4 linked regions of the Notamacropus eugenii genome follow. The protein of the gene in region 4 binds, or shares a complex with, the protein of the main gene of each other region. Links are inferred from orthologs where the notes say so. Each region holds a gene or a part of one and is shown on either strand. Other genes may lie near its edges.

Region 1 (7,860 bases), on a different chromosome or scaffold from region 4:
GAACTTAACAAGAAGGAAAAGAGGAACAAAGAATAAGGACCAACGAAAGGGCTTCTCCTCTGGTTTCTTTACCTCAGTTATGATGCTCCAGCTTAGCTGAAATAGTGCTGGATTCCTGGAGAGCCTGCCTGATAAATCATTCCCCAAACATTTAACAATAGTTTCAGTACACAGGTAGAAATATTTCTAATTCCAAGAACAAGAGATAGAAAACAGCAGTAGATAAAAGGGTATTGGACTTGTAGGCAAAAGACATATTCAATTGACATTATGAGCTGAGACAAGAGGCAAGTCATTTTAACTTCTTAGTTACCTCATCAATAAAATGGGGATGATCTACTCATAATATCTACATTCCAGTGTGACTATGAGAAATGACTTTAATATTTTAAGGGCTTTATAAATGAGAGTTACAGTCACTAGGCACAAAGGAGCCAATGAAAAGCTAGGGAAGAACATGAAAGTGGGATTTTGGGAAAATTAATCGGGTGGCAAATGTGTAAATGGCATGAAGACAAGAAAGGTTGCAATCAGGAGATCTACATTTGAAATCAGGTAGTGATGTCTAGCAGGCAACTAATGATATGCTATAGTAGAGCTCTGCAGAGATTTGGCCTGGATACACAGATTTAGGAGTGATTTATACAGAGACAATAACTGAGCCCACCAGAACAGACATGATTACTGAGAGAGGACTGAGAAGGCACAGGATAGGACCTTGAGAAACGATCAAATTAGCAGGCAGGAAATGAATGAAGATTCCAAAAGAGGAGCTGAGGAAGAGTCACACAGGTAGGAGAGACAGTAATAATAACCAGCATTCACTTAGCACTTACTGTGTGCCAGACACTATGCCATACATTTCACAATTATCATCTCATTTGATCCTCACAGCAACCCTGGGAGGGAGGTGCTATTACTATCCTAATTTTATAGGAGGAAACTGAGGCAGAGAGAGACATGACCTGAGTTGCCCAGGGTCACACAGCTAGGAAGTGTCAAAAGTCCCATTTGTGCTCAGGTATTCTAACCACTGCCCTACCATCTAGCTGCCACAATACTGCCCACAAAGAGAGCTTGGTCAGTAGTATCCCAATTTACAAAACCAGTGGAAAAGAATACTGGGTTTGGAGTGAAAGTCAGTAGGGGGAAATCAGTAGTTAGAAACAGAAAAAAAAAAAAAAGAGATGAGAGAGTAAACTCCTGGAGGAGATGGAGGGGGGGAAACATGACACTGAGGGCACAGGTAAGGACCAGTCTTCAAAAGGAGACAAAAGGGAAAAAACTTCACTGAAAGAAAAAAGCCACACAATTTAGGAAAATTGAAAATTAAGCTCCATCAACTCTAATTCCCCTCTTTTCTCTCCACCTCCAAACATCTCTTAGCTAGACCTTGAAGCCTGGAGTTCTTCTGCTGGGGAATAATACCGTACAGACTTGACAAAAATAGGGCACTATTCTCATTGCTAATTAATTTTCTCAGTCAAGACATAAGGCATATGTCCCTGTCAAACCATCAGACCTTTCAGCAACTTTTGACACTGGGTTGCAATCTCACTTGAGAGATGTGACACAGATGGTATTACATTAAACTGGCTGGAATTCTCATTCTGAAAGCTCATAATTCTGTACTCTTAAAAATTCTAGCCCCTCCTTCCCAAAGACAATGCTGCGGGAGGAATTTTGAAATTCAATCCTCCATCACTCCAGAAATATTGATCAGGTTAACAACTAAGCATCGATATTTAAGGATCTGAATAGTCAACAAAAATCATCACTCCCCTCGTGGAAAAGATCTTGCCAAAGCTTAATTAACACATGAAATAGAGGTGATTCAAACACCAAAAGCAACATTCTTAGGCCTTGGAAAAGAAATGCTCTGGTCTAGTCACTAACCATCAAAGCAAGATAGAACTCAGATTTCCGCAGGATTTATAACTGGTTCACCACCACTGATTCCGGTTATGTAAAGGATGCTGGGTATGCAGCTACCATAACTTGGTGGTGTAGCCGATGGCCCCTTCGGCCCGGAGTCAGGAAGACCTGAGTTCAAATGTGCCTCGCACAGTAGGATCCTGGATAAGTCACGTGGCCCTGTCTGCCTCAGTTTCCTCCTCTGTAAAATGAGCTGGAGAAGGAAATGGCCAAGTGCTCCAGGGCCTCGGCCAAAAAGTCCCAGTGGGGTCGGGGGGAGGAGACTGGACTGCACAAGTCCCAGCGGCCTAGAAAAGCGAGGACAGGAGCTGGGCGCGGGTCAGGGTCGGCCGGTCCCTAAAGTTCTGTAAGCTTGCAGGCCTCCCCCAGGGGTGCTTTACCCCAATCCCCGGATGTCTGTGCGTGTGTATTTACACCTGTACTCACACGCACGCACACACGCACGCCAGGCCGCCCTCCCCAGTCCCCACCAGGCCCTGGGAACACAACCCACACAACAAACGGGCCCGATCGGCCGAGACAAGGCGCTTCTCGCGTGGATTTCCCCGCCCGGGGGAGGCCCGTGCGCAGCCCCGGGTCCGCACGCGTGTCTCCCCCACCGGCGGAGCGCACGAAGCGCTCCAGGTCTCGGTGAGGCCCGGCCGGCGGCTGCCCGGCCTCGCGGACCCTCGGGCCCGGCCGCGCTCCCTTCGTCCGGCCGTCACGCACAGAGGGGACGGCGGGAAGGGCCAGGGTCCGAGCCCGCACGGCCTGGGACCCCCTTTCCCGTGGGGGCCCCCCACCCCATCCCCAGGGGCTCTCGGGAAGGACGGGTCTGGGAGGATCTGGGGAGGAGGTGTTCGGCCCCGTTCCTCCCACCCCTGGCGGAGCCCCCTTACCGTCCGTCACCGACCCCATCGCGCCCTCGGCGGCGGCGGCGGATCCTCAACCGCGTCCAGCGGCCCCGGGTCAAACTCCCACAATGCAGCCGGGCAAACAGCCATGAAGGCCTAGGGGCGGGGCCTGCCGCCGGAGCCGCCGCCGAGCCGCGCGTGCCCGGGCCCGCCCCCTGGGGGGAGGGGGAGGAGGCCGGGGCGGGGCGGCGAGGGGCGGAGGGCCCAGCACGCCCGGCTCCAAGGCCCCGCCCCGCGGCCCCGCCCCGCGCCGCAGGACGCGCTGCTTCCGCCCGCCAGGTGAGAGCCGCCGCGAGGCCGGGCCGGGCGGGAGGGACGAGGGGGCCAGCGCACACGCGGCGCGGCCCCGAGCGGGGTGGAGGGGTGCGGGGCCGCGGATCTCGGAGCCCCCTTCCGGGGACTGGGGGCTGGGGGGAGGGGCGGGGAAGGGAAGGTCACCGCGGGGGGAGGTCTGCGGGCGTGCGGGGGGCGGGAGGCAGCGCGCGCCGGGGCGGGGGCGGGGCGGCGGCGCTCCGCCCACCAGCTTCTGCTACCTGCAAAGTTCGCGCGGGAACCGGCTCCCGGGCCCTCGTTGTGGGGCGCGGGGCGCGAAGGCGTGCGTGCGCGCCCGGAGGCATGCCTGAGGCGCGGGGGCCCCGGCCTCCAACCTGTCATTACCGTGCGACCCCTCCCCCGCCCCCGCCCATGTCCGGTATAAAGGTAAAATGGGAGGGGGCCGATGCTAGGCTTGTCCCATGACCGCCCCCCGCGGCCGGGGCCCCAAACCAGCCGAGCTTCGGCCCTTGGGGCCGCCGGCTGCGAGGCCACGGAAAGCCCCACTGAGACCCCCCCGTTCGCCAGGTAATGTGGGCACCCCTTCCGACCCCCGACTTGGTGGGCTGCTCGCCCCCCCGCGCAGTCTCCCCCATTTGGGTCCGTTCTAGGGTGTGTGCCAACCCTCCCCAGAGTGGAATCCTACCCAGAGCATTTCCCCTTCTTTGTATCCCCGGGGCCTGGCGCCTGTTGGTGCCTCCCAAATGCTTCTCGATCGCTCTTGGGTATCATTGCCGGCCCGAAGAGATCCCCAGCTGACCCGGGCCCAGCCCCAAGGCCCGGAGACCTCATTGGGTCCCTTGGCCTCAATGCGTGTAGAACGGGCCGTGATTTAATTCTGTGAAACATCCAACTGGAAACCGATACAGATATTTAATACCTTTCTTTATGTTTGCGAGATTATCCTGACCCATTTAAACTACTTGAGTGTAGATGGAAGGGATTTACATTTGTTTTTATATTGCATATTAGGTTGAAGTCAATCAGTGACTGTGTCAGTCAGTCACTTAGGAAGTACTGCCCTAAGAGGTGAAGATGAAAAAACAAAAATCCCTCCCCGTCCTCCAGTGGCTAACGTTCTCGAGAGAGCCTTGAGGTCCTCAAGTTGAGAGGTCCTTAACAAGTTGTGTATGGACGAGGAGATGGAGCTAGAAAGGCCCTTCCTTGGTCCTCTCCTTTAACGCCCTTCGGAGGATGGGGCATTTGTCCCAAAGAACACTGATTTTAAGGGGGAGAGTCAGAATTAGAACCCAGAAAGCTCTGATTCTAAATCCAGCGTGCTTTCTCGTCCAGAGCCAAACTATCTGTTTGTCCTCCAGCCTTGTTCAGTTTATTGAGCCCAGAAGGAGGAGAACATCCCGACTTAGACTAGAATTACTTTAGATCTTCACAATCATTGGTTATAAATCGGATGTTTCATGTCTTTTTAAGGAGTAAATTTTACTAAGGTTTTAATTGGAATGATAATTGTAAGGATGACAGTTGTAAAGTTAACATTTTTTTAGATGTCATTAGAAAGGATGATTTTGGAAAGAAAAGCCTTTTCTTCTGGTGGTGGTGTTTTTTACTTTAATTAAAAGTAGGAAGATATGCCACTCCCCTAGCCCTTTTGTAACTGTGAAATTTTCTGGGGAAGTTTTATCAGATACAAAGTTGCCTTTGAGGACACACTGTTATGTCGTTTAGTTCTGGGGAGGGAAGGGGACTGACGAGAAGAACCTTCATTTGTCCGATATTCAGCGCTACTCAGCACTTGATGGCACTTGAGTAAAGGTGGCTGCATGCAGTATCATTATTTTAACCTTCCGCTCTTAAAGCCTTATGGTCCACACAATTTAATCTGATTGGATTATCTCAGATACATGGTCATTAATGTGAGTGATGAATTCAGTAAACCTTTCTTAAGCCACTGCTGGGTCGAAGGCACTTTGCCAGCTTCCCAAAATGAAAGTTCCTGTCCAAAAGGAACTCCCTTTCTTCATTAATTACCCTTTTCATAAAACATCATGAAATTAAGTAAGCAAACAGACAAAATAATTTTTCAGAATTTAGTCCCTGTCTTTGTGCATTCAGTTCCTAACGGCAACCTATATTCATCAGTATTTTACGTTGGCTTAAATCGGGTAGGTGGTACCGTGAATAGAGGCTTTACCTGGAATCAGGAAGACTTCCTGCAGAGGCATTTACTGGCTCGGTGACCCTGGGCAAATTGTTTAACTTCTGTTTGTCTCAGTTTCCTTATCTGTAAAATGGAGTTAATAATAGCACTTACCTCATGGTTGTTATAAGGATAAAATGAGATTTGCGAAGCACTTGTAAACCTTAAAGTAATATGTAAGTGCTAGCTATTTTATTGTTATTATTAAAGTAAGAAGAGCCCGATTTTTAAATATTTACTTCGCCTTCTCCCTCATTTAGAGTAAGAGAACAGTTTTCCGGTGGAAATGTAGAACTGAGATAACAGTGATATGCTTACAATCCTTCTCATCACATACTTACTGTGGCCATAAGTACCATTACTTAACCAAGGTAACAAAGCAATTTAGATTCTTGATTTCTTTATATTTAAGAGAAACAGGTTCACACCTACCTGCTTTGACTTCCTCCTCACCTGTGCTGGAATTCTGAGCAGAGAAACCAAGTGGATGATATTCTTTTATTTACTTTAAAAAGTAATTTTTCCTCCACTGATTTTATTTTTCATTTTTCTGTGTCTTGATGGAATGTATTGACACTTTGTTACCATAGAGGCTCCAGAATCTGTTTGAGCATAAATAGAGTACCTTGGACTCTCGTAAAACTTCAGGGGCGGCTCTGCCATAAACTCCACTAGGTTTCTCCTTCTGGATTTTAAGCTCCCTTACAGAAAGAACTATCTTGTTCAGTCCTCAAAACTCAGCCCCCTAGGAACCATATCTTGTTTAAGTCTATTAGACTGTGATCTCTCTGTTCTCTGTGACTGTCTCCTGCTGGAGTTTAGCACAGGATAGTTTGGCACATAGTTAAGTTCTTAATAAATGTTCATTGACTTTTATTTTTGTGACCCCAGTACCTGCCACAATGCACAGTCAACAAGTCTGACTGGTCTACTATGTGCTGTGGACCATGTTAAGCACTGGAGATAGAAACACAATAAATGAAATAATTTCTCCATGCAGTGATATACCATTCTAATGGAGAAGACAGCAAATACATATAACATCTACTCAGCAGAAATATAAAATTAATAATATATTTAAATATGTGTATACATATACACAAAGTACATTTGTTAATTTATATTTATGTATACATACACAGAGTAGTTACCCATAAGGAAAATGTTTTTTAATTGAACCAAATAGAATTCTTTCCAACAAATTATCTTCTTATCCCTAGTGGTATTTCCATCTTGAGCTAAGAGCCTCAAACCAGAAGCTGAAATGGTTCCTGTTTTCATCGGGAAGGCCCTCACCCAGGGGCAGTTTGGCTGGTGGGTTGTGCCCAAATCCTGGAGGCGCGCAGGCCTCTACACGTTGGGAGCCCTGGCCCGGGATGGTTTGTGGTCTGGAAGAATATGAGCGATTCTCTAGATTTGTTCCTTAGCTGTACTATTATTCAGGTAGAATGTACAGAGATCACCTGTCGTTGTCAGCTCTGGCTGTATTAGCCCGAGATCTCCTTCTGACACCCATTCAGTGACCCCCTGACGGTTAAGTAGCTTGTGGCCTCATAGCTATTAGGAGATCTTGAATTCTGCTTAGAACTGATTATATCATACTATGTTTGTCATGTATAATTTTCTAAATTTCTCTAGTTTTATCCAGCCAGGTGTGACTGTGTTTTCTTCTGTCGTTTTTTTTTTTAAAGTTAAAACATATATCAACACAGTTATCTTTGGAAATTTTTTAGATTTGATATTCCTGCTTATTTTAATTATCTTCTTTGAGGGAAAAGTGAGGTCACCCCTTCATGCTACCAACATGAAACCATTGCCATGAAGAAATCCCTGTCGTTGGCCTTTCCTTCCCTTTCTGCATGATATGTTTAGTTCAATAAAATACACAAAGGTACCTCTTGTGCTCCACACAGTCTAGAGATTAAATGAGGATATGTGTGTGTGTATGTGTGTGTATGTGTGTGTGTGTGTGTGTGTGTGTGTGTGTGTGTGTGTGTGTGTAATTTCATCCAGCTGAAGCTGAACCTCATAGCTCCTTTTCCTTTGGTGCTAAGTTTCATCTCTTCCCCATTTCTTAACCATTGTGTATATAGAATAGAGATATACTAGGGAAGAAAATGGATCATGTTTTATCCTTTTCTCTCTCTTTCTAAAGTCATTTAATCATATTTTTAATAGAATAATATTGTTTTGTTGGCTCTTGTTTTGGAATAGATTTTTAAATGTAAAATTGAAAAGAAAACTACATGAGAAATTGTTTGGAAGCATGTTTAATAGTTTTGCATATGAGGAATGAATTATCTCAGACATTTATAGATGCACAGGATTTATTTATTAAATTAGAGTTTGTTTTAGGCAGAACAAATTTTCCTTATTGCCATTCTACTCCAACCCCAAATTGAGAACAAAAGAAAAACGAAACTCATTGAAAACATGCATAGTCAATCAAAACATATTTCCAAGTTGACCATATTCAAAAGAATATGTCTCATTCTTCATTCTGTGTCCTCTCTCTTAGGAGATGGGGAGCATGTTTCATCATGAGTGCTCTGAAATTGGAGA
Region 2 (7,453 bases), on a different chromosome or scaffold from region 4:
AGAGAAACAATCATAGCACATCTCTCTCTCGGACTTCCAAGTAGTTCTGGTATGGAAAAGGAGGAAAAGGAAAACTGGTGAGCCTGGGAGACAAGAAACACACCCTCTCTGGGGAAGGGACTCTGAAGCCCTCGTGCACTACTGAGCCAGAGCAACACAATGGGGCAGCATGCCACATTTGGAGCTGGAGGACTAACATTAGCCTGGGCTCAGCCACTTCTGTGTGATGCAGTGAGTGACTGGAGTCCTGGAGTTGCAATCAGGGAGACCTGCACTAGAACCCTGTCCCAGACACTTACTACTGTGTGACAATGGGCAAGTTGCTCAGCCTCAGTTTCCTCATCTGTAAAATGGAGATTAATAATAGCACCTACCTTCCAGGATTGCTGCAAGGATCAAATAAGGTAATATACAGAAAATGGGTACAGAACTTAAAGTGTTCTGTGTTCAGTCTTATACCTCAGCCATTCTCTACTTTTCCCTCTCTCCCCAAATTTAATCAGCTGCAGGTCTACCTGATTTTAACTCCTCTCCACTCCCAAGTGAGTCAACGTAAGCGAAGTGCTACATAAATGCTTTTATCATCATTGAGTTCACACCCTGGTACTTCTCACCTGGGCTATTTCAATAGCTCTCTGTCTGGCCTCCAATCCAGTGCATCCTCATAGGACTGTCAAAATAAGCCTCCTAAAGCACAAGTCTCTGCTCAAGAATCTCAGAGCCCTTATGGCCTCCAGGACAAAATACAAATGCCTCAGCTTGGCATTCAAAGACTTTCACAACTTAGCAGCCGCCGCCTTCCAAAGCCATTCTTGGGAGCTCTGCGTGGGGAGCACTGGCCTAAAGGCTACTCCTCAAATTTGGCCTGGCCTCTTCACTTCCATGCCTTTGCCTAAGCTGTAGCTCCCCACTCCCCCCAAGTTTTCACTGTCTCATCTCCACTGTCTATAATACCTGCCTTCCCTCAAGGATCACCTCACATGCCATCTCCTAAGAGAAGCAGTCTCTGATATTCCTGTGAATTGTGCCCACTCTCTCCTCTTCCAATGTTCATACCTATGCTGGTCTACATGGTGAGTCTCTCCAAAAACACATGAGCATCTTCAAAGTAAAGCCTTCTGCTTTGTCTCGCTTAACAGTGAGCCTGCCCACTGAACAAAAGCTCCCTGGCCTGGCAAGTCTTGGGCTGTCTCTCATCCAGGGCTCAGGCAAGGAAGGGGCTTTGCTCTCAAGCATTTATTAAGTTCTGGTTGTGGTGCAGGAGAGTGAACACTGAATTTGGAGCCTGTGTGGCCCTGGATAAATCATTTAACCTCTCTAGTTCTCAAGTTTTCTCATGTGTAAAATGATAGGGTTACACTGAACAAGCCCCAAGGTCGACTCCTGCTCTACAGCTAATCTCATGAATCAAATGCTATTAGATACCCTGGAGGTGACCAAAAAAACCCCCACAAAACTCAGTCCCTAAGAGTCCTTATGCCAGGCTCAGAAAAAACAAAGACAAGCTGAGACGGCTCCTGCCCTTCAGGAGTCTACACAATAGAGTGGAGGAAAGCAAGAGAACATAGAACCAGTTTTAAAACTGGACATGACTTTATAGATCACTTAGATCCCCTTTTTATAGGGAGAAACTGAGGCCGAGGGAATGTCCCCACCTAAAGTCACCTGGAATGTGAGAAACAGCGTGCATGTGTGAAAGTAAGTGCAAAGCAGCTGCTGGGGAATGGGGGAGGGCTCACAGCTTGGGTCCATCGGCCCACTGTGTTTACTAGGCACCTGCTATGAGGAGGTGCCCTGTTCAGGGCTCTGAAGGGAGCACTAATGCAAGGAAACCAGCCCACTCGCCAGGAACTTTAGTTCAGAAAGGCCCCCTAAGGAGATAAGGGGCAGTCTGAGGGGAGCCCAGGCTCCATGCAGGAGGCAGAGGTGAGGAAGGAACACATCCCCGGGCTGGCCAGAGCCAGCAAGGCCTTAATGCGCTTTTCATTCATTTATTTAAAGCACAGGGAACACGAGGGGCAGTCAGGGAGGCAGGAGGTGGCCCACGGCTCACAGCAGGTGCACCAAATGTCTGGTAAAGGGCAAAGGCCACAATCCAACTTGGGGCACCAGGCTGGGCCGTTCACCTGGAGGAGTTTGGGGCTGGCGAAGGCCAGGAGTCTGTACTAGATCCGGGGCCCCAGGGGCCACCAGGACTACTTGAAGAGGGGACTGTGCCTGGGCGGGGGGAGGTCTGGGAGAGATGAGCCAGGACAGGGGGTCTGGGGAGGGGGGCACAGGAGGGAGAGGGGGCGCTGGGGGGGGGCTCCTGCAGGGGGGGGCCGAGTTGGAGGGAAGGGTTCTACAGGAAAGTTAGGGGTACTGGGGAGGGGCTCGGGTGGGGGAGGGGGCACTGGGGAAAGGACTCAGGAGGGAGAGGGGGCGCTGGGGGGGGGCTCCTGCAGGGGGGGGCCGAGTTGGAGGGAAGGGTTCTACAGGAAAGTTAGGGGTACTGGGGAGGGGCTCGGGTGGGGGAGGGGGCACTGGGGAAAGGACTCAGGAGGGAGAGGGGGCGCTGGGGGGGGGGGGGCTCCTGCAGGGGGGGGCCGAGTTGGAGGGAAGGGTTCTACAGGAAAGTTAGGGGTACTGGGGAGGGGCTCGGGTGGGGGAGGGGGCACTGGGGAAAGGACTCAGGAGGGAGAGGGGGCGCTGGGGGGGGGGCTCCTGCAGGGGGGGGCCGAGTTGGAGGGAAGGGTTCTACAGGAAAGTTAGGGGTCCTGGGGAGGGGCTCGGGTGGGGGCCCGCGGAGGAGGGGAGGGGGGCGTACGTACCTGAGGACGGCCCGGGACTCGGGCTGACGCCCGCACAGGCCGCTGGGGCTCCCGCGGGGCAGACGGAAGCAGGACCCGGACGCCCACCGGACGGGGGCGGAACACTGCGGGAAACAAAGCCCGCCGCCTCGCCCAGCGACAGCGCGGACCAAACGAGAGCCGGCGAGACTTCCGCTTCCGGCGGCCAGAGAGCCCGAGCCACGCCCACCAAATACCATAGAGAAACAGGCGGGAGGAGCGGCGCGCGCCGGGGCTCTCTGCTGCCCCCTAGTGGCCCCTCTCTGCTTAGTCTGGCTCCCGACAGTGGTTGGGAGCAGCGCGATCTAGCGGACACAGAGTCAAAGCCCACCTCGGCCCCCTGTGGTGCTGTGTGAGGAGCGAGTCACAACTTCAGTTAAGCAGAGCAGATCCGGTCAGCATGGGTGGAAATAAGAGGTCCAGGCAATGGTGATATATAACATTTATTCATCAACCGCAGATAGAGAAGGTACTTGTAGTTGGAGCTGCGCCTTGAAAGAAAATAGGGATTCTGAGAGGTGGAAGGTATTTTGTCTCACTTCCATCCCTGAGAATCCCTGATTTCCGGCAAGGCATTCTTCAAGCCATTTTTATTAGATAGCCTATGATTTCAATGGTGAAGGATCAAAGCCTTGTCTGCACCTTAAGAGTCTTAAAGGCTTCTCATTTCTAAGTCTTAAGAGATTGGATGGGATTCTGAGAAGTTAGTGAACCCCACTCATTTGACAGATAAGGAACCCAAGACCCTCAGGGATCAAGTGACCTGATTAGAGCTACAGAGATAGGAAGTGATATAACTGGGTTTTAAACTCAGGCACTTTGATGTCAAATCCAGCACTCTTCAATTTTACTTTTATTAGTAATAATAAGCATTTCCATAAACATATTAAAAACACAAAATAGGATTGGTATGTGAAATCATGAGTCTCCATTACATACACTTAAAGACATACACTTTCAAAATTGGTCTCCTCAACTGTATTTCCTTCTGTTCTTTTTCATATATTTTCAAAAAAATGTTCAGTGGTCATCTTTGTTGGCTCCTGCTCATTTCTTCTATCTTGGGACCACTGGAGATATGGTTGGCCAATGTTTCCTTGGAGTTCTTAGGTCTTTCCCTATCATTTTTCAGTGTGATGTTATCTGTGTATACTTTGTTTTGTTTAATTCACAACACATTGGCTCTTACTTCCTAAAAACATTTTTTTCATCATCTCTTAGAAAATGATCATATTCTATTACCAGCATTTGTTTTTTGGTGACCACCATTTGTTCAGACATTCTCCTAATTGTTGAACATTCTCTTAGATTTCAGTTTTTTTCTTCTCCGCTTTGGGATCCAGAAGTTTCTTTTGCTGGTGACTATATCCTCACAGGCATTATTTCCCCTCTTAACCTCTCTTAATCCTACCTTATTTCTTTGTTGTTTTATTCAACCCTCTGTTGTTTTGTTCAACCCTCTTTTGCCTGATTCTCATAAGAGATTCGTCTGATATATTTTCCCTATCCCTCCCTCCATATTTGAAAATATTTGTATTCTCATCCATCCCAGTTATGAGAAGCAAGTTCTATTCCCTTTTTCCTCCATTCTAGACAAGTATATTCTTTTCATTCTCCCTTATTTTTCCCCTCTAAAAATCAAAGCAGAACTAATCCAAAGCCAAGTTCCTGTTTTTCTTATTCAACTCCTTCAATGATCTTTGAAGACATTATAATTCTGAAGGGGGACTTGTTTGTTCATATTAAATAAGGTCCCATTAATTGCTCCAATAAATTTACACTTTGCAGAGTAAGTTATCCTTGGTTGCAAACCAGTATCTCTTCTTGCCTTTTGTATACTGAATTCCATGCTCTCCTCTGATTTTTGGTAGATGCTGCCAGTTTTTGTATGATCCTGATTTTGGTTCTTTGGTATTTAAACTGCTTCTTTTGGAATGTTTGAAGTATATTCTCTGATGTAGGAGCTCTCACTTTTGGCTATGATATCAGTAAGACTTTTCCTTTTGGGGTTTCTTTCAGGAGATAATCAGTGGATTTTCTTGTCCTCTGGTTCTAATGAATCTGGGTAGTTTTCATTTGTGATTTCTTGAAATATAATGATTGTCTTGATCATTATTCAGTCTGAAGTAAACTTCAGGTTTTTGTAGGAGTAAGTAGGTATGTGAATGCTAGATGTTTCTTTACCTTTCTCCAGGTTTCCAACTTGGATCCCCTACCTCCCTAACTCTCCTTCCCTCTCACTCTGGAGCTTATTTTCAACAGTAATTGTACTCATTGGATCAAATTTTGTGTTCCCTATTGCTGATTTAAAAGTCAAATGAGTTGGCCCTTTTAAAGAGAATTTAGCTATAAAGAAATGGAAATGACTTCCACAGAATCTGGTCATACTCAGTAAAACAAAACAAAAACCCTCCCAAATATAGCTGCAATCTCGTCATTTCAAGGTGACTCATGTCTACATGGTTAATCAGAGCTAGCATTTACACAGCATTTTCAGGTGTGTATACCATTTTACATGCTATCTCATTGGATTCTCACAACATTGTGAGGAAGGTGCTATCATTATCCTCATTTTACAGATGAGGAAACTGAGGCTACTGGGGATAGTGGTGAAGTGACTTGCCCAAAGTCACACAGTTAATGTCAGGGGCAGGATTAGAATTCAGATCTTCCTAACTCCAAGTACTGCCCTCTATCCACTTTCCACCTAATTGATTCTCTATTTAAGTTAAAATACCCCTCTACAACTACGAAAAGCTAAATGAAAGGGGAGGTCTTTGCAGTGAAGACAATTTAGGTTTGACACCAGGATAGATTTCCTGAAAATGAGAGTTATCCTAAAGTGGAATGAACTGCCTAGAGGGCTGATCAGTTTCTCATCCTTGGGAGGTCAGACAACCATGTCAGGTATGTTATAATGTAGATTCCTTTTTTAGTCTTGGCTGGACCAAATGGCTGCTGAGGTCCTTGCCCAACAAATCATCATTCAGCCTTTACTTGAAGACACCCTGGCCCCAAGACTTAATTGAAAGGAGGAAGTTTTGCCTGACACAATGCCAAATCTTCCTCTTTGAAGCTCTCCCTCCTCTCCACTGCTCCTGGCTCTGCCCTCTAAGCCCAAGAAGAAAGAGGTGATCCACCCAAGTGGATCTTTCCTTCAGAAAGAGTTCCCAAACCTTTCCTGAGCCTTCCCTTCCCCAGACTCTAGAGCAGGAGAAATAGGCTAACCTCCATGATTTTCCCAATGTGTCCTCTGCCCAGGAGTCTCACTGAAAAACTCCAACCCTGTCTGTCTCCTTTGGTGCCAACCTCATTTTCCGAGCTGATTCTTAGCTCCTCCCCTTCACCAGCTCCAATCTCTCCTATCTCTGGAATCTCGGGGCAGCGGGGGGAGATTCCTGGCAGGTGAAGAAGAGCAAACACCATTTCTATTAAATATTTAATTAGGTCAGTCAGTGACTTTCAGTACAGGCGCCCCAGAGGGAGAGGGGTGCAAGCGTCATGAGATACAGGGATCTGAGGAGGCCCAACCTCCACTTCTCCCGCATATTGCAATGATCCCCACATGGCAACAGATAGTCACAGAAGGAAGGACTGTGGACCCAAGAGGAAATAGGAGGAAGGAGAGAGGAAGATGATAGACAAAGTCCCCCATTCTAGAAATGGGGGGGGGGGGGACAGGGAGAGCACAGCCCAGAGCCTTAAAAAAAACCTACTGGGAGAGCTCCCCTTCTGCCTGGCAGGTGGCTGCAGTGATACTTCAAAGCCTAACGCGGAGACATAACCATGGAAATAGGCATAGCACAAAGGTAAGCCTATCCTTTCATCAGGCCCCGAGCCTCAGGCAGTGAGTTGTTTTTACAGCCCTCAATCTTCCTATAAGTCCCCATCCCAACAGCCTTGACCTCGGTTAGCCCTCTCACTGGTTCAGGATCATATGATAAGAGCCTGGGTTAAGAAGCAAAGAAAGGGACTTGGCTCAGGTGCATCAGGGAAGCCAGAAGCTGAAGGCCCCAGCTCTTGCCCCTAAGCTCTAACCACAGGACAACACCACCTTGTATGTAAAAATGATGGTATCTGTGATGTTCACATGGAAGGAGACCAGGCCTGGGTAGTCAATGAAGGGGCCTTGGGAAAAGGAAATCAGAAGCTGAGATCTGCTCAGACTTCCCTGGGGGATAAGGAATTGGCCAAACAAAGAGAATTAGAAAAATGATATCTGGCTTGAAGGGTTTGCTCCTCACAACAATCCTGTGAGGTAGGTGGTGTTGTTATCCTCATTTTACAGATGAGGAAACTGAAGCCCAGAGACATAATGGGAAATGCCCAGCTAGTTCCATGGCTAGTAAGTGTCTTAAGCATGATTTAAACACAGGTCTTCCTGATTCCAAGCCCCAAATTCTATCCACTGAGTCACCTAGCTGCCCTAAACCAAGGGAAGAACAGAAAGGTGGTTGGGAATTAAAAGTAGCCAGCTCTTGGTCTAATTCAGCTAGCCTCAGCCTGACCTAACTCCTTGAGGAGCCCAACAGACCCCAAGGAAGGAATGAGGCATGAAATCTAAAAGGATGTAGGGGAGCAGGGGAAGTGTGATATGAGGTGATGTGGGGGGGGCAAAGGGAAGG
Region 3 (7,045 bases), about 23 Mb from region 4:
CCTGCTCCGTCTTCGGCCACCTCTATAAAAGGGAAGGAAAAAAGATAGTCTGTCAGGGTGACTAGACCATAAACCAAATATTGTTCTAGTTTACTCATTTGTATACACCCAATTCACAATCACTCGCTCTTTCCTCCTACCTCCTTTTGCCTTTGGGTGGCCCCCGCACAAAACACCAATCTACACTGATGGGCTGCCCCATCATGTCTTGGCCATTGAGTCCCTCCATGGCAGCTTGAGCCTCCTTGTATGTCTCGTATTCCACCAAAGCATAACCCTAGGGGAAAAGAAAAAAAGTCTCAATCCATACAAGGCATGGTAATAAACCTCTCTTGTTCTTACTTATCAAACCTTAACTTTGATTAAATAACTCAAACATCAAGCCCTGTAAATTTCTGTTAATGAATGTGCAGTATGAACATAACACTTATACTACGTTCCTGTTGTCTGTTACAATGACTGTTTCTCTGTGTCTAACTACACTTTCAGTATTACTTTCATCCAAATTTGCTCATCGCTGCCCACAAAGTAAACCCTCGAGCTCTGACTGCCCACCTGGATCCTGAGGGCCCAAACTTCCCACTTACTTTAAGGTATCCTGTGCGCCGGTCCAGGTTCAGGTGGATATTTTTTATTTCTCCATACTCGGAAAATTTATCATGTATGTCCTCCTCGGTGGCTTCTTCGTGGACCCCAGTCACGAAAAGGATCCACCCCTCAACAGCTGGGGAGTCAGAGCACAGGCGGGGCGCGATGGTCAGGGGGAAGGATTCCACATGCCGGGGCTCCTCCCACTGCGTCCCCTCCCGGACTCCCGGCACTCACAGCGTTGCGGTCCGGGTTCGTCACCATCCTGCTCCACGCTGTCGTAGTCCTCCCGCATTCGGGCCCGGGACCCTTCCTCTGTAAGGTCCACGCCCACCAGGGGTCAGTAAATAAGGGCGGCCCACCCCGCGGCCCCCCTCACCCTCCTCTGTCCCAGCCTCACCTGAGCCGAAGCCGCGACCCTTGCGTTTCTTGGCCTTCTCCTTCAGTTTGTGAATGCTCTCTGAAGAGAGAGGAGAGGTGGGTCAGGGGGGCCCCGCCAGGGGAGTGGTGCCCGCGGCCCGGCCCGACCCCTGCGGCTCTGCCTGGGGCGGAAGACCCTCCTCCCGCCGTCTATCCATTCCGAGGCCCGGGCCCTCTAACTCTCCGCCCACCCGCTCCGCACCATCCCCATCCTCGTCCATGGCGAAGTCTTCGCCTCCGGCCTCATGAAGATCCAGCACGTCTGCCATCTTGCACGGTTCTCCGGTTCCTCGGAGCAGTTCTGCACCAAGGCACGGTGGGAGACGATGGCGGGCTTAAGAACCTCCCCACGCGGTGTTGTTGACTGCCTGGTTAGCCAATCAGACCCCTCGACTCCGAGGCTCTCGCTTTTCTTTGGCAGGGAGGCTGCCCGCTCGCGCAGGTCCAGTGGCCGCCGGGTCTGAAGAGTAGGAGAGGCGGAAACTTGAAGAGAGGGCTTCCTGGGAAGGAGGCCAGAAGAGCAGGTCACGTGATTGGGGGCGGGGAGAGGCCCGGGCTGCGCCTGCGCTTCGCTTGGACGCTCATTCCCGACTCTCCCCTGGTCCCCGCCCCCACCCAGGCGGGGCCTCGGGCGTCTAACCGTCGAGCTTTGCTCCCTTCCGTGGTTCTTCTTGAGTCTTCCCAGCGATTCTTTGCTCTCTCGCTTTCCTTTCTTTTCTCCTCCGAAGCAAGGGCGGGAGAGGGCGCCATCTTCATTTCGCAGCCCACTTTCGGTGCTCGGCTGGACGGCCCGCGCCAGCCTGCCTCGGTTTGCGTGGTTGGAAACTTCAGGGCAGCTTCTCCCCTCCCCCCTCCAAAAAAATAGCCAGAAGCCGGGTCGGAGTCACTTGGTTGCTGGAGAACTTCCTTAGCCTCCCCTGGTCTAGACGAGATGATAATCGCCTCCTGTAAGGCACTCGTTCTTAAACCAGTTACTTTTTAGGGAGTCTAGGGCTGAAGTCTCCCCCAAGCCCGGGACTCCATCCCCTTCCTCTCTGAACTCATGATCTCAGCTCCCTAACTCCTCCTGAGCATCTTTGTCAGCACCTTGCTGGGTCAGTCCAAAAACCCCTTCACAGGCCGGCCCCGTCGTAGTTGTGTGTGTCCTCCCTCCAACATGGAGAAAGGCAAATCTGCAGGCTGCCTCTGTTTGGAGGTGCCCAGCACCCTCATTTTGCAGGGAAGGAAAGGAAGCTGACTGAAATGGCTCCTTCCGTGATCCCTAGTGAGATCCTTACGGATTTCTGTTCTCCAAGTTGACCCTGCTTTAGCATCTGATACCGCCTCTTTTCTGGGATACTGCTGTTGGGGTACAGACTCTGGGAACTTCCTGGAATCTTCCCACTTATTCTGGCTTTTCACGCTCAAATCTGTGACCCATAACCTAACCAGGCCCTGCCAGGTCCGAGGCTTCCAGCTTGCCTCTGGCTGGTTCTCATCCTTGATTACCTCCCACCCCAGCCCTATGTTGTCCCAAGCCTCCAGTCGTTTCCCACCCTTGATTACATCATTAGTTACCCTGGTCCCATCAAGATTCTCTTTTCACGCCTCCTCCCAGACTGCTAGACCACCCCCAGATCCCTCCCATCATCTTTCTGTATATAAATTTAATCTCCTCTCCACTTACATGCTCAGTTTCAGTCCAGTTCTGATTCTGTCTACCTTAGATTCTACCTGACCCACTTGGCAATACAAGCAACACAAATGGTTGGGCTTCCTGAGAGTCGACCCAATATGGCAAATCTTTCATAAACTTTGGCTGAAAGAATGCTTGTCAAATGCATTCAGTCAGGACCCGGCTTGTCAGTATTTTGGGACCCCGAGTACCCCTAAACCCCAATGTTGTTAGTGTGTACAATGTTCTGTTTCTGTTCACTGCGCTTTTCATTTCATGTCAATCTTTCTAGGTTTTTCTGAAATCAGCCTGCTCTTCATTTCTTATATCACAACAGTATTTCATTACAAATACAATTTATTTAGCCATTCCTAAATTGATGGGAATCCCCTCAGTTTCCAATTCTTTGCCACCACAAAAAAGAGCTGCTATAAATATTTTTATACAAATAGCTCCTTCTCCTCCACCCTGCTTTTTAAAATTTCTGTGGGATAGAGACCTAGTCATGGTATTGCTGAGACAACAGGTATGTAGTTTTATAACCTTTTGGGCATAGTTGCAAATTGCTCTCCAGAATGCTTGGATCAGTTCACAACTCCACCAACAGTATATTAGTGTCCCAGGTTTTCTACATCCCCTCCAACATGTATCATTTTCCTTTTCTTTCATATTAACCAATCTGCTAAGTGTGAGTGGTACCTCAGTTGTTTTAATTTGCAGTTCTCTAATCAATAATGATTTAGGGTACTTTTTTCACATGACTACAGATAGCTTTGATTTCTTGGTCATAAAACTGCTATTCATATCCTTTGACTATCAATTGGGTTGCAACTTGCATTCTTAAAACTTTGGTTCAGTTCTCTATTTTGAGAAATGAGATCTTTATCAGAGACACTTGCTGTAAAAATTGTTTCCCAGCTTCCTGCTTTCCTTGGTTTGGGTAAACTTTTTAATATAATCAAATTTTCCATTTTCCATTTCCATTTTATAGTGCTTTCTTTTTGTTTATGCATAAATTCTTCCCTTCTCTATAGATCTGACAGGTAAACTATTCTTTAGTTTCCTAATGTTTTTAGGGTGTTGTATCAGTAAGCACCCCAACATACAGGGGGGTCTTCTATCACAGGTTCTTAGATCTGCATTCATAAAAGGAAAGCAACTTTCAAGGGGTAACAATCACTTTAATCAAGCACATGTATCGTTCCTTTTAACCAAGTACATCTATCATTCAGTTAGTTCAGGGAGTCAGCACCCTGAATTTCAAAGAAAATACAGAAAAATCAATAGATCAACAGACATAGCTTCCTCTGCCTGAATTCAATAGACAACTGGACCCCAACTGTCTGACCATAGTTTCCAGAGAGGGAAGCACTTGACACCTGGGTTCTCAAAGCCAGGGGACTCTTGGTGGTTTCCCAGAGTCCTCCTCTGGCACTCAAACTTTATTACAAAAACTAAACCCCAAAGTAAAACCTCAACTCAGAGTATTTATATCTTTTTTAGAGCCAGAGGGCATCACAACCCTTTAACCCAGTGCCTCAATAGAAAAAACAAAAGGTACTTAGGGCCATCCTACAAAACAACTCTCCTAATCAAGCTTCCTACAATGGGCAGGCCCATCAATGGGTGGGAAAGATTTTTTTAATAATTATTTTGTTTTCAGTGTTCTATAATCACTTCTATATATCTTAGATGTTTTCCCCCTCTCTCCTCCTACTTCCCCTCTCCTTCCCCACACCCTCTCAGAGATGGCTTGCTATCTTATATAGGTTTTACATATACATTCCTATTAAATACAATTTCACCATAGTCACGTTGAATAGAATTAAAATGAATGGGAGAAACCATAAAACAAAACAGAACAAAACATAACACACAAAAAAATGGTCTGCTTCATTCTGTGATCCATTTCCACAGTTCTTTCTCTGGATGTGGAAGGTATTTTGCCTCAAAAGTCCATTGGCAATTTCTTAGGTTGTTGCATTGCTATGAAGGACTAAGTGTACCAGAAAAAGGGAAAGATTTTTAATCACATTAAAATAATTAACAATAGAAATACATACACTGTTTCTAGTTAATGAAATTCTAGTTTCTGTACTTTACTCCTTGTAAAGACTCTTGACTGATAAAGGCCAGATTCAATCAGAGGCACTTGATTATACTAAAATAAAAACAGCAAAAGATCCTAGTCACAGGTACCACCCTTTTATATCCTGAAATTTTGCTAAAGTTGTTAATTATTTCAACTAGTTTTTTAGTTGATTCTCTAGGATTCTCGAAGCATATACCATTATATCAGCTGCAAAGAGTGATAGTTTTGTTTCCTCATTGCCTATTCCAATGCTTCCATTTCTTTTTCTTCTTTTATTGCTATAGCTAACATTTCTAGTGCAATATTGAATAATAATGGTAATAAATTACCTCCTTGCTTCACCCCTAATCTTATTGGGAAAGCTTAATTTGTTCCTATTACAGATAAAGCTTGCTGGTGGTTTTAGATACTACTTATCGTTTTTAGGAATGTTCCATTTATTCCTATGCTCTATAGTGCTTTTAATAGGATGTTGTATTTTATCAATAGCTTTTTCTGCATCTATTGAAATAACCGTATGATTTCTGTTGGTTTTGTTATTGATATGGTCAGTTATGCTGATAGTTTTCCTATTATTGAATCAGCCTGCCATTTTTGGCATAAATTCCCCCGGTCACAGTATATGATTCTTGTGATATATTGCTGTAATTGCCTTGTTAGTATTTTATTTAAAATTTTTATATCAATATTCATTAGGAAAATTGATTTATAGTTTTGTTTCTGCTCTCCTGGTTTTGGTATCAGTACCATATTTGCGTCATAAAAAGAATTTTGTAGAACTCCTTCTTTACCTGTTTTTCCAAATAGTTTATATAATATTGAAATTTTTCTTTAAATATTTGGTAAAATTCACTTGTGAATCTTTCTGGCCCTATGGATTTTTTCTTAAGAAATCCATTGATGGTTTGTTCAATTTCTTTTTCTAAGATAGGGTTATGTATTCTATTTCATCTTCTGTTAACCTGGGCAATTTATGTTTTTTGTAAATACCCATTTCACTTAGGTAGCCAGACTGGCATAAAATTGGGCAAAATAGTTCCTAATAATTGCTTTAATTTCATTTTCATGGTTGTAATCCTAATGGGGTTCAGACTCTGGGAGCCTCCTTGAGCTCCCCTTCAATCTTCCCACTTAATCTGGCCTTTCTTACCCAAATCTAATCTTCCCATTTGTTCCAGCAGTCTCAGGAAGCCCATGGGCTTTTCATTATCATTCTACTCAGGTCTCTGTTGCACCCCCCCACCCTTGATCCCATCAAAACTCCATTTCCCAGGCTGCCTACCACTCCCATCAAGATTTGTATCCATTCCCATACTGCCCCTATCAAGATCTCTGGATTGCCCACCTGCTTCCCACCCAAACCCTCCACAGTCTGATATTTCCTGATAGCCTCCAGCTGTTTCCAGCCTTTGACCCTCCTTGGACTTTTCCTCAAGACCCTTCCTAAATCCATCCTCCCATCACCCTGGAATACCAGACCACCCCCCAGATCCCTCCTATACTCTTTTCTGTATTTAAGTTCCATCTTGCCTCCATGAAGGCGCTCAGATGCAATCTAGCTCTGACTCTGTCTAGCTGGGATTCTATCTGGCCCTCTTGTGAATACAAGTGTTACAAATACTTAGGTTCCTTAAGAGGCAACCCAATTTGTCAAATCTTTAATAAACTTTGTTTTCTTTGGCTTTAAAAAGACTTGAGTCGAATTCATTTGAGCTCGACCTGGACCGTCGTGTTTGGGGTCCCCACCAGCCCTCAACCTCGTCAATCCTACCTAGCTGCTTTGCTTTCTCATTTTTGACACTGATAATTTGGCTTTTTTTTAAAAAAAATAAAACCAGCTCCTAGTTATTACTTCAGTGGTTTTCTTTCAGTTTTATCAATCTCATTTTGGACTTTTAGGATTTCCAATTTGACGTTTAACTGGGGATTTTTAGCTTGTTCCTTTTCTAGTTTAATTGCATACCCAACTTGTTGATTTGTTCTCTATTTTATTGATGTAAGCATAGAGAAATAAGTTTTCCCCTAGGTACTGCTTTGGCTGCATCCCACAAATTTTAGTATGTTGTCTTATGGTTTTCATCTCTCTTTAATGAAACTGATTATTTCTAGGATTTGTTTTTTGACCCACTCATTCTTTAGGTTAAATTAGTTTCCAATTAATTTACAATCTGTCTCTCCATGGTCTTTTATTGAATTTTTATTGCATTATGATCTGAAAGGATGCATTTGATATTTCTGCCTTTCTGCATTTGTAAGGTTTTTATGTTCAAATATGTGGTCAGTTTTTGTGT
Region 4 (7,416 bases):
AGATTACATAGCCCTGACTTGATTCCAGAAAGCCAAGAACTAACCTCTGTGCAGGTCTTCGTTGTGTGTCAATCTGTGATGTAACAAGCTGAATATTCATAGGGCGACCTGCAGGAGAGGAAGAGGGGAAAAAAATCACTGTTCTATGGAACAATTATACATTGCTAGCAATGTTCTAGGCTCCATGCAAATAACACTGGATGGGTACCTTGTTGTCTCATTCTAAATACAAACATGGGAAAAGACTGGAAAATATTTGAGAAAGACAAATGGCAAGAGAGAAACCACCAACCTCCTCTTTGACAAAGTTAAAACTGGGTAAATATTCAATAACTTTTTCTTTGGTGGAAATGGGTGGAAGAGGGAAATACACCTGGCTGACCTAGTGGAAAAAAGATCCAGTACCTTTTTCTTTATCATTATAGCCCCGCTCTTTGAGGTGTACTATGGTGGTTCTGGGAAGGCCTCACAGAAGTGAATCTTCAGGAAGGATCTGAAGGAGGGGGTCACAAGAGGTTGGTCCAGATGTATGGGGCAGCACGAAAGGTGGCAGAACGGAAGAGAGAGACAAAGCGGGCAAATGCAAAGTGTGCTCGGCCAGAGTGGGCAAATCATATTCCTACACGGGCAGATGACAGCCCCATACTCCACAAAACGTAGCACCCAGCCCTTCAATGATGGAAGGCTCAACTTACCATCCAAAGGGACACCATTATACTGTTTCATGGCCTTCAGAGCGTCTGCTTTTCGCTCAAAGTGAACATCTGCTGTCCCTAAGCTCCGGCCAGACCGATCATAATGTACAGCTGCCTTTTTTAGAGTTCCGAATTCAGCAAATAGTTCCTAAAAACAGGAAAGAAAGGAAAAATGACTAACAAGGCTCTCTCCTATAACGTCCAAGGAAGAGGACCCCAGTAATATTTACATTAGGAGTTATGTTCCTGGAAGGGAACACACATCTAGGGAGGAGAGGGTGGGGAGAGCGGAACAGCAACTTCCAAAAGCAGCTGGGCCTGTCCCGGGTCATGCCAACTTTGGGGCATGCCCTCTGTATGATGCTATGGGCCAAAGAGTACTTTGCCCAGCGGAGAGGGGAATAATATTCAGCGGCTGTCTTTTCTCAAGGAAGAAAAACCACTCTTAACAAAAGAGTGTTCTAAGAAATGAAGAAAACCTCCAGGTCACAGAGCAAGGGAAGCTTTGCAGGCCACTGTAACAGATTTAAGGGCCCATTGATTCAATAGACCTGATCCCAGACCCACCCCCAGAAGGCAGATTCTGGCTCACCTGCGTTTCCCTCTCCTCCTACTCAAGCCTGCCGCAAAGTCTGACGTCAAGCGCTGCCATGGAAACTGCCCTGACCTCACGGCAGGCTGGGAGTTGGAGAGGGAACCCAGAGTGTGGGGATACTCCGGCCGCAGGCACACAGCGGGAAGTGGAGTTCACCAAAAGCGGTTTCCAGTGGATGCCAGAAACCACCTTAAAAAAAGTGTTGACACACCATGAGTGCTTGTCTGCCTTGCTCTGTCCTCCCACAGCAAAGCCGTATGGCTGGGCTCGAGGAAGTAGGACCCAGGAAAGCCTGGCATCCAGTCCCAACCATTTCCAACCTCCAAAGTTTTAACTCCTGGAAAGGAGTTTCTTAACAGGAAAGAGGTTAGATTTTTTAAAAAAGAGCACTGTTTTTTGACTTAATCCTGAAACAGGTGCTTTGTGGATGCCCATTTCTATACCAGAAGAATGAGCATCGGACATATTTTGATGAAGAGCCAATTAAGGTTACAAGGCTGCTGCTTCTTTGCTCTTTTAGCCTGAGAGAAGCTACACCTCCTCTCTCAAACCTAGCGTTTTCAGCACAACAACGAACGACACAAAAATCTGTCCAGGCTCAGTCACTCTGAACGGCCTCAAGAAGCCTGGGAAGCAAAAATCCCGGCCTACGCCAGTTCCCCGCAGCCCTCACTGCACCCTCAGCTTTACCACTGACAGCCTGGGCTCCAGAAGGAGGGATGAGGACCAGTCACCTGCAAGGCCCGTGGGGGGTCGGGGGAACCCCGCGCCGTGCACTTGGCTCCCGACAAGGGGGCTTCCGCGGGAGCCGCCGCACTCCTCACCTGAATATCCGCATCTGAGACCCCGAAATCCAGATTGGAGACCAGCAACTTCCCACCGGTCTCGACGCCGGCCCCGCCTCCAAAGCCGCTGTCGAACAGGTCGTGCTGCCACTTATCTGGAAGCTGCTTCGGCTGAAACAAACACAAAGGTCGGCGAGTCGTCCCCCCACCCGGCCGGGGCCTGGCGGGTTCTCCTTTCCCTGGGCCCCCTTCTCGCTCCCGCTGGCCCGGGCGAGGGGGGCAGGCGGTCGCCTTCCCGCCCCCACGTTCCCGCCGCCCCAAGCAGGCCCCAGTTCCCGCCCTGAAGGTAGCCATGAGGCTCCAGGCCTCGGTGGCCCATCAGAAACAAAAGGCCTCCGGGGGGTGGGGGGTGAGGGTCGGCGATCCCTCGGTCCTGGGTCAGCCCCCCCCACCCCCGCACGCCCCCACACAAGGACCCGGCCTTTCCCCTTCTGCGCCTCGGCCTCCCAGGGCTCAGCCCCCTCAGCTCCTCGGCCGGCCCGCTCCGGCCCGCTCGGCCCAGGCCCGGCCCAGCCTCCCGCTCTCCCCAGGCTGGCTCACTCACTCGGCTGTAGGGCGCGGGTCGGTTCCTGCCGCCGCCCCCGGCGCCTCCGCGGGCCATGGCCGGCCTGTTCCGGATGGGCCCCCCGCCTCGGCTCACGCGGGCGGCCGCCTGAGCGCCCCCGCCGCCGCGGCCGCCCTGGGCCCCGGCCCGGCCTCGGCCCCGGCCCCCGCCGCGTCCGCCCCGCTGACTCCGGTTGAGTTTAATGATGTCGTCCAGGGACATGTCCATCTTGTCGGCCATGGCGGGCGCGGAATCGGGGCCTCGGCACGAACCCCGCGCGTCAGCACGTCGGTACGTCACTTCCTTCGCGGCCGAAGGTTCAGGGCGCTTCCGGGACGCCTGGGCTTGCCTCCGAGTTGTCGGCGCTCGGCGGGCGGACCGAGCTCCCGGCAGAGCCTCGCTCGTCCTCTGCTCCGGCCGCACGCTGACAGCCGCTGCCCGGACCCCTGCGGCCCTTTTTGTACTTGTCGCGAGGGCGCCAACGGAAGGGCGCGAGCTCCGGGAGCCAGGCGCGAACCCAGGTGTGAACTCTAGCAGGGGGCGCTATAACTCGGGAGGGGGCCTGCCGCCCCCGGGAGGAGAAGAGAGCCCGGGAGCGGGGACGGGGGCGGGGCCGGGGCGAGCCCGGGGGCGGGGGCGGGGCGGGGCCGGGGGCTACCGTGGGGCGCGAGAGAATTCGGGGGAGCGGGCGCGTAAAGCGAAGGGCCTGGAGTCCAGTAGGGGCCCCCGACGGAGGTGGGGGCAGCATAAAGAAGGGGCTTAGACTCAAGGGAGAACTGTGACTGGAGGTGAGAACTCGGGGTGGGGGGGAAGCCCCTGACTCAAGTGGGAACTCAGGAGGGACCTGGGTCCTGCGCTGGCTGAAGCCCAGGCTTGCCTTAGGTGTGAGGCCTGAACCCGGTGGGAATTCTGGGGAGGGGGCGGAGTCACGTGAGCCTGGGGGAGGGGGAGTAAGCGGGGCCGCCCCAGGAAGAGAAGGAAACTGATTTGGGCTCCCCTGCTCCCCTGCTGCGAGTGGAGATTTCTTTAGTTTTCATGTTTTCTCCTTGATTCCGTTCGAATCGGTGAAGCATTTCTTAAGGGCCTGTTGGGTGCTGGGAATCCAGAAACCAAAACGGAACCACCCTTGCCCCTAAGGGGCTTTTATCCTACCGGGGTGACGGTCGTGTTCTCATCCCAAGACAAGACGGCTCAAATCTTAGTTTTCTCTAGGAGTTGGTGCTTTCATAGGTTTACAGGAAATCCTTCTCTAGCAGGCCATTGAAGCCAGGAGACCAGATGTCACTGCCCCATTCTAAGGATAAGGACACTGAAGCTCAGAGAAATGAAAAAGCGAAGGGTCGCATGTGTTGCACAGCTAGAACGGAACCTTGGGTCTTCAGGCTGTCATTCCCGTGTGCCAGGAAGTGGTAGAATCTCGAATGCACGGGGAAAGGATTTTGGAAACAGCAGTGTTCAGGGAGAATTAAACTTTGAACGATTGCTTTATTTTTATTTGTTAAAATATGCTTTATTATTTTGTCATTGATTCTTTTAGTGCACAAAATTTTCCTCAAGCCTTATCCCACTGGAAGGAGGAAAAGAAGGGAGTGAGTATAGACAGAACACAGACTTTTACAAGGTGAGCAATCTATTCTCCTTCCATCTTTTGTCCCAAGCTTTTTTGTTTTGACACCTTATAATGATCTACTTTACTATGTACGTCTATAGTACGTATATAGACATGTATCCGGTCTATACACATAGACGTATGCATATGTCTATGTGTCTGTGTGTACACATACACACGTGTATCTGTAAAAACTTCCCAGGACTTCTGTATAGCATACTTTTAAAAGTGAAAGTTAAAAACAGTTGATAACTTTTGTGCTTTTTAAAAAAGCCTTTAGGAAAAGCTTAGTGGATCACCATGTCAAACCCCTTTCAAATAGATAGGAAGCTCTCTGTTCCTACTTGTTCTGTTTGGTTCTTTCAAAGCTTCTTATTGGAAGTATCAAGCATTTTTCTTGGCAAGAAAGAGCAAGGAAGGTGAATCTTCTCTCTAGGACAAGTCTTTGGCTTTGTTTTTTTGAACTTCAAGTAGGTAAAGGTATAGTCATCCCATGACATTCTTGAGGGATAGGGCCTCTGGGCCCCTGAGAATGTGAAAAACCAGGAACAACTCTAGGCCCTACTCCCAAACCTTTATTTTTAATAGTTCAGATTATATTTATTTAACACACAAAACAACACACTGCATATGTTTTTAAAAAGTTGCAATTTCTACATGAGAGAGAGAGCAGTATCTTGTACACTTTGTAGCTGCAGCAACTGCTTCGTAGATTTCCTTTTGCAAGTTGCAAGATTAAAAAACCATTGCTGGAGAAAATCACATGATTATCTGGATTGTAGAGAGAAAAAGAAGAGGTGGTCCTAAAGAGTGCATAGCTCAGGGAAACTTTTAATGAAATGTAACTTTAAAATAAATTTATGTGTATATACTTATGGTAGCAAATGAGAAAATAGAGTAATACTACTATATAGTTTTTATACATTTGTGATTTACTAATTTTTTTGGTTTTTTTATATACACAAGTCATCTGAAGTTTTCTACAATACACTGAAAATCTCCAAAAATTCCCATTTAATTATTGATGGCCAACCTTCGAATGACCAAAACCTGGAATGTGAAACCCATAAATGTCTAGGGATGACTGTATTCCTAGTAAGCCTCAAAACTATTTCTTGGCAAAAAGACCATTCCCTTTGTGTTGCTGTGCCTCCTGCCCTTTAAAGATACCTTGTTCCCCTAGATTTATGTTAATTACAAATCTCAAGCAATGAGGAACAAAGACATAATTAATGTACTTAGTTACTACCTTTACCCAGGTCTTTCACCATGGAATGGATTGTCACCCGTAACCTCTACCCAAATTGGTGTCCTCCCCAGACTCTTCAGCAAAGTAATCTCCTTTCTCCTTCCCAGGATACACACTCACCATGAAGGTGAAGATTAAGTGTTGGAATGGTGTAGCCTCCTGGCTTTGGGTTGCCAATGATGAAAATTGTGGTATTTGTCGAATGGCTTTTAATGGCTGCTGCCCAGACTGTGAGTACATCTCTCTCATCATGTTGCTCTTGCTTTTACTTTCTTCCTTTCATTTGGATTTTTTCTGCGTTAGTATTTACTAATGGGTCCCAATCAAGATGAATTCATTGAATGAATTCATTTCTTATTGCATAGGTGAAGGAAAGTCTCAGCAGTCAACCAAGGGCTATGATGCTTTTGCAAAGAAAGTATCAGGCTTTTGACCAAAAAGATAGGCTGATTTGGATGTTTTTGTGTATGTCTATTTTGCATAATGAGCAAGAAATTAACTCTAATTATAAAAACACAATAATCAATTGGTTCTGTAGTCAAAAAAATTCTTTGAATCAGACATTTAAGCCATAATCTAGGATGGATATGGATTCATAGGACTATAGATCTAGAAACGAGGAGTCTTCGGTTCTGTCCTTTGTTTTTACAGGTGAGGAAACTGAAGCCCAGGAAAATTAAATGATTTGACTGAGGGCATACCAGCAGTCAGCATGGGGGGCAAGGGGTGATTTTTGTCTTGGTCCTCTTGACTACAGAGCCTGTGCTTTCTATTGGTCCATGCCTCTTTGGTTTACATTTGTATGCTACTTTACAGTTTGCAAAGTTCACACTCTTACAAAAACTGAATGCATGTGCAGCTTGAGCATTGCTGTTATTGAAACTTTTGGACCAGATGTGTGGTTTCATTAGTATAGGAAACTACGAAGAAGAAAACTTGTAACAATACAAAAACCTCTTACCTGATTTGCAATTCATTAACTCTCCTTGGGGAACCTAGAGGCTTAGTGTCTTGCCTGACATCAAACATTCAATAGGTATCAGACATGGGCCTTTATCTAGAACCTACTAACTCCTTAGGCCAACTCTCCATCCTTTATACTGTGATGCCTCACATCATAGATTGTAGAATATTGGTCAGAAACAGGGCCTCAGAGAGGCGAATGAATTAGCTCATGGTCACCCATTGGGAAAGGACGCTGGGTATATGTGTAGGATCAGGGGAGTGCTTTTTAAAAAGAGACTTGAAGACTGATAGGTGGCTTCTTATCTGTGCTTGTTTGAATAATTTATGGTTCTATGATTGTGTGATTGTGTTACTAAGATAGGGAGTAGTCTGACTCATTTCCAATTAATAGAATAACCCCTAGGGAACTGTCCTTATGTACCCTATCTTTTTTTCCAATCTCTATTCCTTTCTCTAATTTTCCTCTACTCATTCTCTTCTTCTTAAATCTTCCTTGACCTAGTAAACCTCTCACAGAATCTACGTAACTCTCCTTTGTTTCTTTATGGAACTGATAGATTGCAGGACATAGATGTGTGTGTGTATTCGTCCTTCATTGACAAAGACCATGCCATCAGAGAAATAATGATATGACTTGCACTTGACTTTGTTTTGAGTGAGGGAGGGCTGTGCAGGTCACCAGCCTCACTTCTCCTCCAGAGCCATCTGAATCCAGTGACCAGATATTCATCAGGATGACTGGAGATGACCCAGGATGAGACAGTTGGTGTTAAGTGACTTGCCCAAGGTCACACAGCTAGTGGGTGTCAAGTGTCTGAGGTGAGATTTGAACTCAGGTCCTCCTGACTCCTGCACTGGTGCTCTATCCACTGCACCACTTATCTCCCCTAGGACATAGATATTGAGATGGAAA

What was found.
Region 1: ALYREF (region 4) and THOC7 share a complex: the UniProt entries of both Homo sapiens proteins name them as parts of the transcription/export (TREX) complex. The link is inferred for Notamacropus eugenii from reciprocal best matches to the Homo sapiens genes ALYREF and THOC7.
Region 2: ALYREF (region 4) and THOC5 share a complex: the UniProt entries of both Homo sapiens proteins name them as parts of the transcription/export (TREX) complex. The link is inferred for Notamacropus eugenii from reciprocal best matches to the Homo sapiens genes ALYREF and THOC5.
Region 3: ALYREF (region 4) and RBM8A share a complex: the UniProt entries of both Homo sapiens proteins name them as parts of the ALYREF/THOC4-EJC-RNA complex. The link is inferred for Notamacropus eugenii from reciprocal best matches to the Homo sapiens genes ALYREF and RBM8A.

Annotation. Positions count from the first base shown.
Region 1 is NC_092874.1:460,485,475-460,493,334, reverse strand, and holds the start of THOC7 (THO complex subunit 7), read right to left. Parts: upstream 3,013-7,860; 5' UTR 2,833-3,012; coding exon 2,814-2,832; intron 1-2,813. UniProt on the Homo sapiens protein: Component of the THO subcomplex of the TREX complex which is thought to couple mRNA transcription, processing and nuclear export, and which specifically associates with spliced mRNA and not with unspliced pre-mRNA.
Region 2 is NC_092875.1:16,143,574-16,151,026, reverse strand, and holds the start of THOC5 (THO complex subunit 5), read right to left. Parts: upstream 3,015-7,453; 5' UTR 2,811-3,014; intron 1-2,810. UniProt on the Homo sapiens protein: Component of the THO subcomplex of the TREX complex which is thought to couple mRNA transcription, processing and nuclear export, and which specifically associates with spliced mRNA and not with unspliced pre-mRNA.
Region 3 is NC_092873.1:303,231,544-303,238,588, forward strand, and holds the start of RBM8A (RNA-binding protein 8A), read right to left. Parts: upstream 3,021-7,045; 5' UTR 1,278-3,020; coding exon 1,211-1,277; intron 1,049-1,210; coding exon 989-1,048; intron 904-988; coding exon 826-903; intron 725-825; coding exon 588-724; intron 278-587; coding exon 141-277; intron 23-140; coding exon 1-22.
Region 4 is NC_092873.1:325,989,707-325,997,122, forward strand, and holds the start of ALYREF (THO complex subunit 4), read right to left. Parts: upstream 2,920-7,416; coding exon 2,680-2,919; intron 2,247-2,679; coding exon 2,115-2,246; intron 844-2,114; coding exon 696-843; intron 109-695; coding exon 45-108; intron 1-44. Other genes in the region: ANAPC11 (anaphase-promoting complex subunit 11), read left to right, coding at 2,882-3,200, 4,217-4,272. UniProt on the Homo sapiens protein: Functions as an mRNA export adapter; component of the transcription/export (TREX) complex which is thought to couple mRNA transcription, processing and nuclear export, and specifically associates with spliced mRNA and not with unspliced pre-mRNA.